Drosophila melanogaster: one gene and its partner. The gene in region 1 interacts genetically with each later gene. Each region holds a gene or a part of one and is shown on either strand. Other genes may lie near its edges.

Region 1 (3,116 bases):
TTAAGAACACAGCGGACAAACGGCTGGTCATTCGGCTTGGCATCCAGGGACCCGGATTCCAGCTGGTGGGCACCGACAGCAGCACGATCACACTCCAAGCCATGGAATGCCGCTCGGTAGTGATCAACTTTTGCCCCACTGTCTGTGGAGCGGCCATCGGAGCCTTGTCTTTCTATGCACCACCAGGAGCGCATAACAGCAACCAGCCGGGCCTAGAGATTCCGTTGTACGGCTACGGGGGCAGTGCGTCCATCACCATAAACGGTCTGCTAAAGGGACCGGTGGGCGCCAGTTTCCTTACCATCGGCGATGTATGCGAGCTGTCCGCTGGTCCGCTTTCGGCGAATCTCAAGTTTCACAACAAGGGCCCTCTCACCGCTTTCGTTGGTATATCAGTGGACTCCACCGTGCTCATGAAACTGCGCCTCAGCGAGGCCTTCGAGGTACGTCCGAGCCGCTTGATATTGCCGCCAAATAGCGAGCGCTGCGTGCAGATACTTTTCCGACCGAATCGTGAGGACTTGAAGAACATACTTAAGAAGACCGCACAGGTGTTGACCCTGGCCAATATGCGGATTTTCTGCGGAGACGAGCCCAACAGACAGCGTATGCGTAGCTTGGTCCAAAGGATGAGCAGCCGACAGCGAGAGAAACTCACATCGCCGATGCTGGACAGCATTTGGGGCGAATTTCCGGACGAGCAGCCAGTGCGCAACATCGGTCAGCTGAACGAACCGCCAGAGTTTATTCTGGACTTGGTCACAGTAGTGCGGATTATTGATGTTGCGCTTACCCTCAATCGGGACTTTGATGAATCGTCTGAGAGTTCCCTGATGTTCCTGCCGGAGGCCGACGAAACCGTGCTATTCCGCACCATATGTGTGGCCAATTCGCCGACGCCAACGCAGAGCCATCTATTGGAGCCAGTGGATGAGCTATTGGAGGCGGACACCACAACGTTGACGCCCGTCGAGCAAAACTGGTGTGTGCAGCCAGGTTTGCTGGAATTCGGAGTGGGCTGTTCGCCACTGGCCACTTTGTCCGTAACCAACAGCTTCTGCTCCAGGCAGCTCATCGAGGTCACATGCAATGTGCCCGATTTGGTGCGAATCAGTCCCAGTGAGTGCTACGTATCCCCGGATGGCGGCCACGCGGAGATCGATGTGCGCCTGCTCCGCTCACCCAGGCAGGATTTGCTCGAAAGGGAGCCGCTCATTGTGGTCTCCATGGAAAACGAGCGCATCAGTGTCCCGATTAGTTTTAAATTTTAAAATTTGTTTTATTTGTGCCTGCTAATTCTGCTTTCCCTATGTTTGTGTAGTTAGTTTAAACAAAAATTGTATTGTGTACTTGTGAAATGAAACCGTGTTTGCAGAGTATTTGTAAGGAAAACGCATAACCCTAAAGTTAAAATACTCGCTTGTTTCCTAAAAGTTGAATTTAGCTTAAATAAAAACTAATAAAGTATATGAGTTAATTTTAAATTTTGATATGTTGCTCTCGAATATTCAAAAAGTAACGTATATGTAGCGATAGTTCGTCGAAAAGTGAGTTGGCGGGCACATTGCAAGGTGCAAGCCGAGTACGGTCACACTGAGGAAAGTGCATCATTTAATTTCCAGCATTTTCCGATGAAAATGGATGCCGACAGCAGTGGAACCCAGCATCGAGGTACCCACTATATAGTATAACCGATCTGATCAGATTCTGATCCAGTGCCATCTTTTTGTTGTTTTTTTTCTAGTGTCATATTGTGTGAAATGTGAAATGGATGAGAATGAACGCTGGACGACCAGACAGAGAAAGAGAAGCTAGGACAATAGGACTCTCAACTGCGCATTACGTGGATTCCGTCTCCGACGATGCGCCAAACACTATGCGTTAGATGCATTGACTAACCGCACACTCTTTTCACATAGATTCCCGTGGCTCAAGGTCTCGATCCCGGCGAGAAAGAGAATACCATGGGCGATCAAGCGAGAGGGACAGCAGAAAGAAGGAGCACAAGATTCCGTACTTTGCAGACGAGGTTCGAGAACAGGATCGGTTGAGAAGATTGCGCCAAAGAGCGCACCAATCCACCAGACGCACTCGCTCCAGATCCAGATCACAGTCGTCCATCAGAGAGAGCAGGCACAGAAGGCATCGCCAGCGCTCTAGGAGCCGCAATCGCAACCGAAGTCGCAGCAGTGAACGAAAACGCCGTCAACATAGCCGAAGTCGCAGCAGTGAACGAAGACGCCGTCAACGGAGCCCGCATCGGTATAATCCTCCGCCAAAGATCATCAACTACTATGTGCAAGTGCCACCACAGGATTTCTACGTTAGTAGTTATTTGTATTGAAACAAATAACAAATCTAACTTAAATCGATTTTGCAGGGGATGTCTGGTATGCAGCAAAGTTTTGGATACCAAAGGCTACCACGTCCTCCGCCGTTTCCACCGGCCCCCTACAGATACCGCCAGCGACCGCCGTTCATTGGAGTTCCGCGATTTGGCTACAGAAACGCGGGGCGTCCCCCATATTGAACATACTCCATTCGACATAATTACAAATTTATTTACATTCGTGTGTTTTGTACATTAAAATAATAAATACATATATATTTCAAACTAAAAATGGAGAACATAAAATATTGCAAACGGAGAACGTTGATTAAATCATGAGCAAATGCAGCAAAGAAGGCGGCAAAAAAAGGGTCACACGAGTTAGGAAGTGGAAGTTACTTAATTCTAGGAGGGATAACCATATATTTACGACTTTATACATGCACATTTACACATACACTCATGGTTTCGAGGGGACTAACACTAGCGACTCTCCTAATTACGATATTTACGCATTGTCAATAAATTATAAAAATAGATCATTTGTTGTGGCATTATACTAAAACAGTGGTTAGAGCTCGACCCGCGGACGAAACTGCAGCCGAAGCGGCGGATCCCGGAAGCGCCAGCGCGTCACGTAGACGAACTTCAGCGTGTGATCCTTGCCGAGCAGCTCCTCGTTGCACAGTATGTCGATCTGAAAGATAAGATACGTAGTTATCATATAAGTATGTGCCATGTATACAAGTAACTAAGCCAGTCTGAGCTTTCACTGAGAGCAGTTACT
Region 2 (4,774 bases), on another chromosome or scaffold:
CCCCCCCTTTTACTTCCACCCATATTTTACCCATATTTTCCCGTGCTTCCCCCGACTTTTCCCACCTCCCAACTTGTTGGACTTTTGTAACGGTTCTGGCACTGGCTGTTCATCAGGCTGCAGTCGCAGCAGTTCGGCTTACACACAATTTACAAAATAACCTCAATCCACCCACTCAATCTCGCATTCCCGCGCCCCGCTGGAAAACTGCGTCCCTGCCTCGCAGGGGCCCTTCACTCAGTCACTCAGTCAGCCGACTGGGAGAGTGTGTAAATTGTCTTGTGTAAATATGCAAATTTTTCTTATTTTCATACCCTGAAAGGGAGTCGCACTGCTGCAACAAGAACTTTACAAGCCTCTCAGGAAAATGCAGCCGCACTAGTACTGTTTTATGAAGTAAAACTAGTAACTTTGGTAAGCACTTTTTTGTAAGTGCTATTCAGAATATGCTCAACTGTATAGGAGTTGTATTAAACAAATGCGACTTTAAAAATATTTAAAGAGTTTATTCAGCATTTCCTTCAAGCAATTTTTTTCTACGAAGGAAATCCTTTGAGATGTATCTATTTATCTAATGAAATTTAAAATATAATTTTGCCAAATCATTATAAAAATTAATATATATACTCCCGATTTTTTCCTAATCCATTTAGTTTACAAGCTCTAACTTGATTTTCTGTTTCATAATAAGATTAACTGAAATATTATATACTCTTGCATCGTTTGAGTTCACATTTTTTAATTTAAAGTTGATATGGTCTGCTTTTTACTTTATTTTAACTCATATAATAAGAGTAACTTTCTTAAATCATCCTAATTTCTACCGAAATAGATTCCCATCTATTTTTAGGCACTTTTCGTGCAAGGGTATTAAGCGTATCGACTTCCTGGGGTGTATCCTGTCAATCCTGTTTTTATTGTCAACGTTGTTGTTATTGTCTGGAGTGTGGATAGGGATCGGGGGCGCTGTGGGCGGGGCGCTGGCAGTTCGTGTAAACAAACCAAGGCGTCGGATTAAAAAGTTTTGCATTACAAAGAGTTTTCGGTGGACGGACGATGGGGACGGAAGCTTGGGAAAATGTTTTGATTATTTAACTGCAAGTTACGATAAAACTAATTGCAATTACAAGCGGACTCTTTCCCTTTATGGCCCCTAATGAAATTGGCAATGCCAAGGCTGACGATTCAGCACAACTCAAATCAAACTCGGACGCAAACTTCGCACTGCAATTTTATTGGCCCGGTTCAATTTGAATGGTTTGCTTTCTTTGTTGGCCTCTGCATAAATTTTCCTCGGGCAATATTGATTTCCATTACAAATCCAATATTAAACTATGCCCCTGAGAGCGATTACTCGATTCCTACCGTTTTGCTTACTTACTTAAACCTTTTGTAACTCAACGAAATTGAGGACATGGCCAGGACACGGCCAGGATGCACCCGGCCCACAGATTTGTAGTTATTACAAAGGATCATTAAGAGCGTAGATATATTTTCCCTTTAGACTTGTCATTTAATCTCTGGAAATATTTACTACACATTCCTACCTCATAATTTGTCAAAATATTTTTGGGTGCCTTTAAAAACCAAATTTATGTTGGCCGGGGGAGATGTAAGAGTACTCAAATATATTATTGAATATAAATTGGTAACACGGATTAGCCAGTTTGCAATTGGCCTTGGTCTGCTGAACTTCTGAATAAACTGAATCAAATGCAGATGAAGTAAACTGATATTTGCTAATAAAATATAAGAAACTGAAATTTGAATTGTGCTCAGCCAACTTTAGGTTTTGTTGTAATTTAATTTGCTAGTTAAAAGTTTTCGAAGATTTTGTTGTTATAACTGAACCGAATGTTTCTTAGCAGTATAGTATTCTTGCAAAACACCTCAATGTGGTTTAGAAAAATAATTTATTGTAATTTAATTTAGGTATATCTTAATTCTGTCAGTAGATTCTATGATTTAATTTTCTAAAAATTCTTTGTAATTATTAAAGGTAAATAAGGACCATATATTTGTCTGACCTGTTATTAATTATTTTATACATCTGTACTGATGTGAATGGATGAATATTTTTTAAATGTGTTAACGTAGTGAATTTTCTTGCAGTACCATAGATATTAACTGCTTGGATACTCACTCAAATATTTTAATATATTTATTTTATATTAAAACTTGGAAACCCCAACGTTTTCGAACCTATCTAACATTTTTAAATATAAAACCTAATTGATAAACACGTACTTCATAATAGATAGCACATAGTGAGAATGCACTTTAAATATTTTTAGAACCCACATTATAAAATTTTCAAAAGACTTAGTTAAAATAAATATTTATACAAAGAAAATGAGCAAACAAATGTTTTTTTTTTAATATTGGTTTTGTACCTGTGCCCTTAACGTATTCCACAAAACCACTTAATACAATTTGAACAACATAAAATCTGCTCTCAGAAGAGCATATCACCTGCACTTTAAGTAACTTTACATAGGAATACCTGGCTCTTGTTGGCCGGGAACACAGACTCACCTGCTTTTATTTGACCTTATGCGGCTGCAACTTGTTGACTTTAATGAAAATGCACTCAGCAGAGGCTGACTGGCACACACAAAACGCTGGCACAACAAGTTAATATGTATTAGCTAGTCGCTAGTATGTCTGTAGTATCTTGGCTTAAAACGGCACTCGGTGAGACACCAACAGAAAAAAAAAGGACAAACAAAATCGGGCGGCACTCGCACACTCAAACGTACGCACACAGTTGCAAAACAAGTCAAGCGCGAAAGGACCGACTAAAACATGGCTAACATGTTTGGCTAATTGGCGTTTCTAGCGCCGATTTTTACAGCGCTCTAGCATTTATGTAAGCGGAATGTAAAACGCTTTACAGGACTTCAAAGTCTGGATTGGATTGGATTTGAATTGGAATGTTGTGGCAGGTCGTTCGGTATGTCGGCTGCTGATTTCCTTCGAAGGGATTGTGTGAGCTGTGCGTCCTTGCTGAAGGAGCCGCCGCGTCCAACTGACTGCTGCTGGATGTGCAAGCTGCGATTGTTGCAACGACTCTGCTGTCGCAGCACCAACGAAACGCAGCAGCAGCAGGCGCAGCACGGCGACAGCAGCAGCGTCAAAGGCAAAAGCAGCAGCAACACATAAACGCAGTACATGGTGGGTTCGGTGGAATACATATACATGCTCGTTGCTGCCGAAGTCCTTGCAGTCGAAGGGTTGTGTAGTTGCACTTGTAGTTGCTCGTGTTGCAACACACACAGCAGCAGCAGCAGCAGCAGCAACAGCAGCAACACGACATCAACTTCGGCCCACATTGTGCAATTGGCTTAGTTCCCAGTCAACAACTGGCCGCCTTTACAGTGCCCGTTTACAGCGAAGAGAAATGCTCTCGATATCCTTGGCTGCTTTCTCTCCGAGGATTTTCTCGAACAGCTGTTCGCGCTTGCCGGCTCTTATCAGTGAAATGGTAACAGCTCCTGTTAGCGTGCAAATGCACTTTTCTTTTCTTGGCTTTCCGCAGTGGCATTTCTTTTCGTTTCCTTCCTCTTCCTTGCCTTACTTTCATTTCCGTTCCTTTCGGTGGGGTTTGATTTATTATGTAAAAGTACAAGGACACTGCCACATACAGTGGGTACTCAATTAACTAGCTTTAGAAAACGAAAATATATATATTTTTAAAAAGGCAATGTTTACTTTAAGTAAATATTAATTGAATATAATATGATTTCAATACGAATAGCAAACATAAGTAGGCAACTTAACGTTAATAATTGATGAGTAGGGAAAACTAACAAACAATTTATCAAAAATGTATTAAATATATGCTTTCGCTACGATCCCGATTACAGGGTGTACACTGTACCTGCGGAGCTGCGTGTGCGTGCCAAGTGTTGGACAAACAAGCTGAGCACTAAAGCCGGAATACATTTGAGACTCTTGCAATCGACTTAATACGCCGCTAGAAGGGGGCACGATACGGCCTCATTGCCCCTACGGGAATGACAACCAATATGAAAATGGATTACCACAAAATGCAAATTGCGAAATGGCCAATTGATACCAGCGTCTAGCCACCTAATCGTCCGATTAAACCACCTTAAAATCGCAAAGCAGCCAGGCATTAATTACACGAAGTAAATACACCGACTCGGTTTACTCGGCAATGATAAAATCTATTATTAGAGAGGCCGAGTGGAAAGTTTTCCACCAACCAAGCCAACCAACGTTTGCTGTTGCCAACCGGCGTTGTTAGCAGAGCGCTGCTAAAGGACCTCTGTTAACTGGGCCGGCACGTGTTTCTCTCTCGCACGCACACAGCGAAGCGGATTTTTTGATTCTGTTTTGATTAATAGCTTCGTTGCAAGCTTATCAAGCGCCCACACACACACACACACACACACACACAAGCGCGCGGCCAGGAAGTGCAACAATGTCACGTGGCCGGCATTTGCCGAAGTCTCCTCTCGCCAGGACTCGCGCTCGCTCTCATTTCGAGTTGCCCCCATTTTCTCTCTCTGTAAGGCCTGCGCTGTTTACAGCAGTTAACTTTTTTCCAACGCCCTGCAATCGAACATGTTGCAACTATCCGTCTCTTTTGCGCATTTCCCCAGCCCATCGCAACAACAACAATAAACGAAAATAAACAAAAACAAATATAGCACGAGCAGCAAAAAATCGAGTATTACATAAGTCGGTGCTCCACCTACGCGAATTGGAATATAGTGCTGGCCCTATGTGACTGTCCTATATGAAAGAT

The links.
Region 2: of tra (region 1) and fru, changing one suppresses a phenotype caused by changing the other (phenotypic suppression), as found in Drosophila melanogaster (one study listed by BioGRID).

The regions. Positions count from the first base shown.
Region 1 is NT_037436.4:16,589,559-16,592,674, reverse strand, and holds tra (transformer), read left to right. Parts: upstream 1-1,624; 5' UTR 1,625-1,631; coding exon 1,632-1,671; intron 1,672-1,744; coding exon of another isoform or gene 1,745-1,815; exon of another isoform or gene 1,816-1,919; coding exon 1,920-2,323; intron 2,324-2,380; coding exon 2,381-2,530; 3' UTR 2,531-2,616; downstream 2,617-3,116. Other genes in the region: spd-2 (spindle defective 2), read left to right, coding at 1-1,271; l(3)73Ah (lethal (3) 73Ah), read right to left, coding at 2,901-3,026. UniProt on the Drosophila melanogaster protein: Member of the regulatory pathway controlling female somatic sexual differentiation, regulated by Sxl. Activates dsx female-specific splicing by promoting the formation of a splicing enhancer complex which consists of tra, tra2 and sr proteins.
Region 2 is NT_033777.3:18,542,578-18,547,351, forward strand, and holds the start of fru (fruitless), read right to left. Parts: upstream 3,010-4,774; 5' UTR 2,536-3,009; intron 1-2,535. UniProt on the Drosophila melanogaster protein: Probably acts as a transcriptional regulator.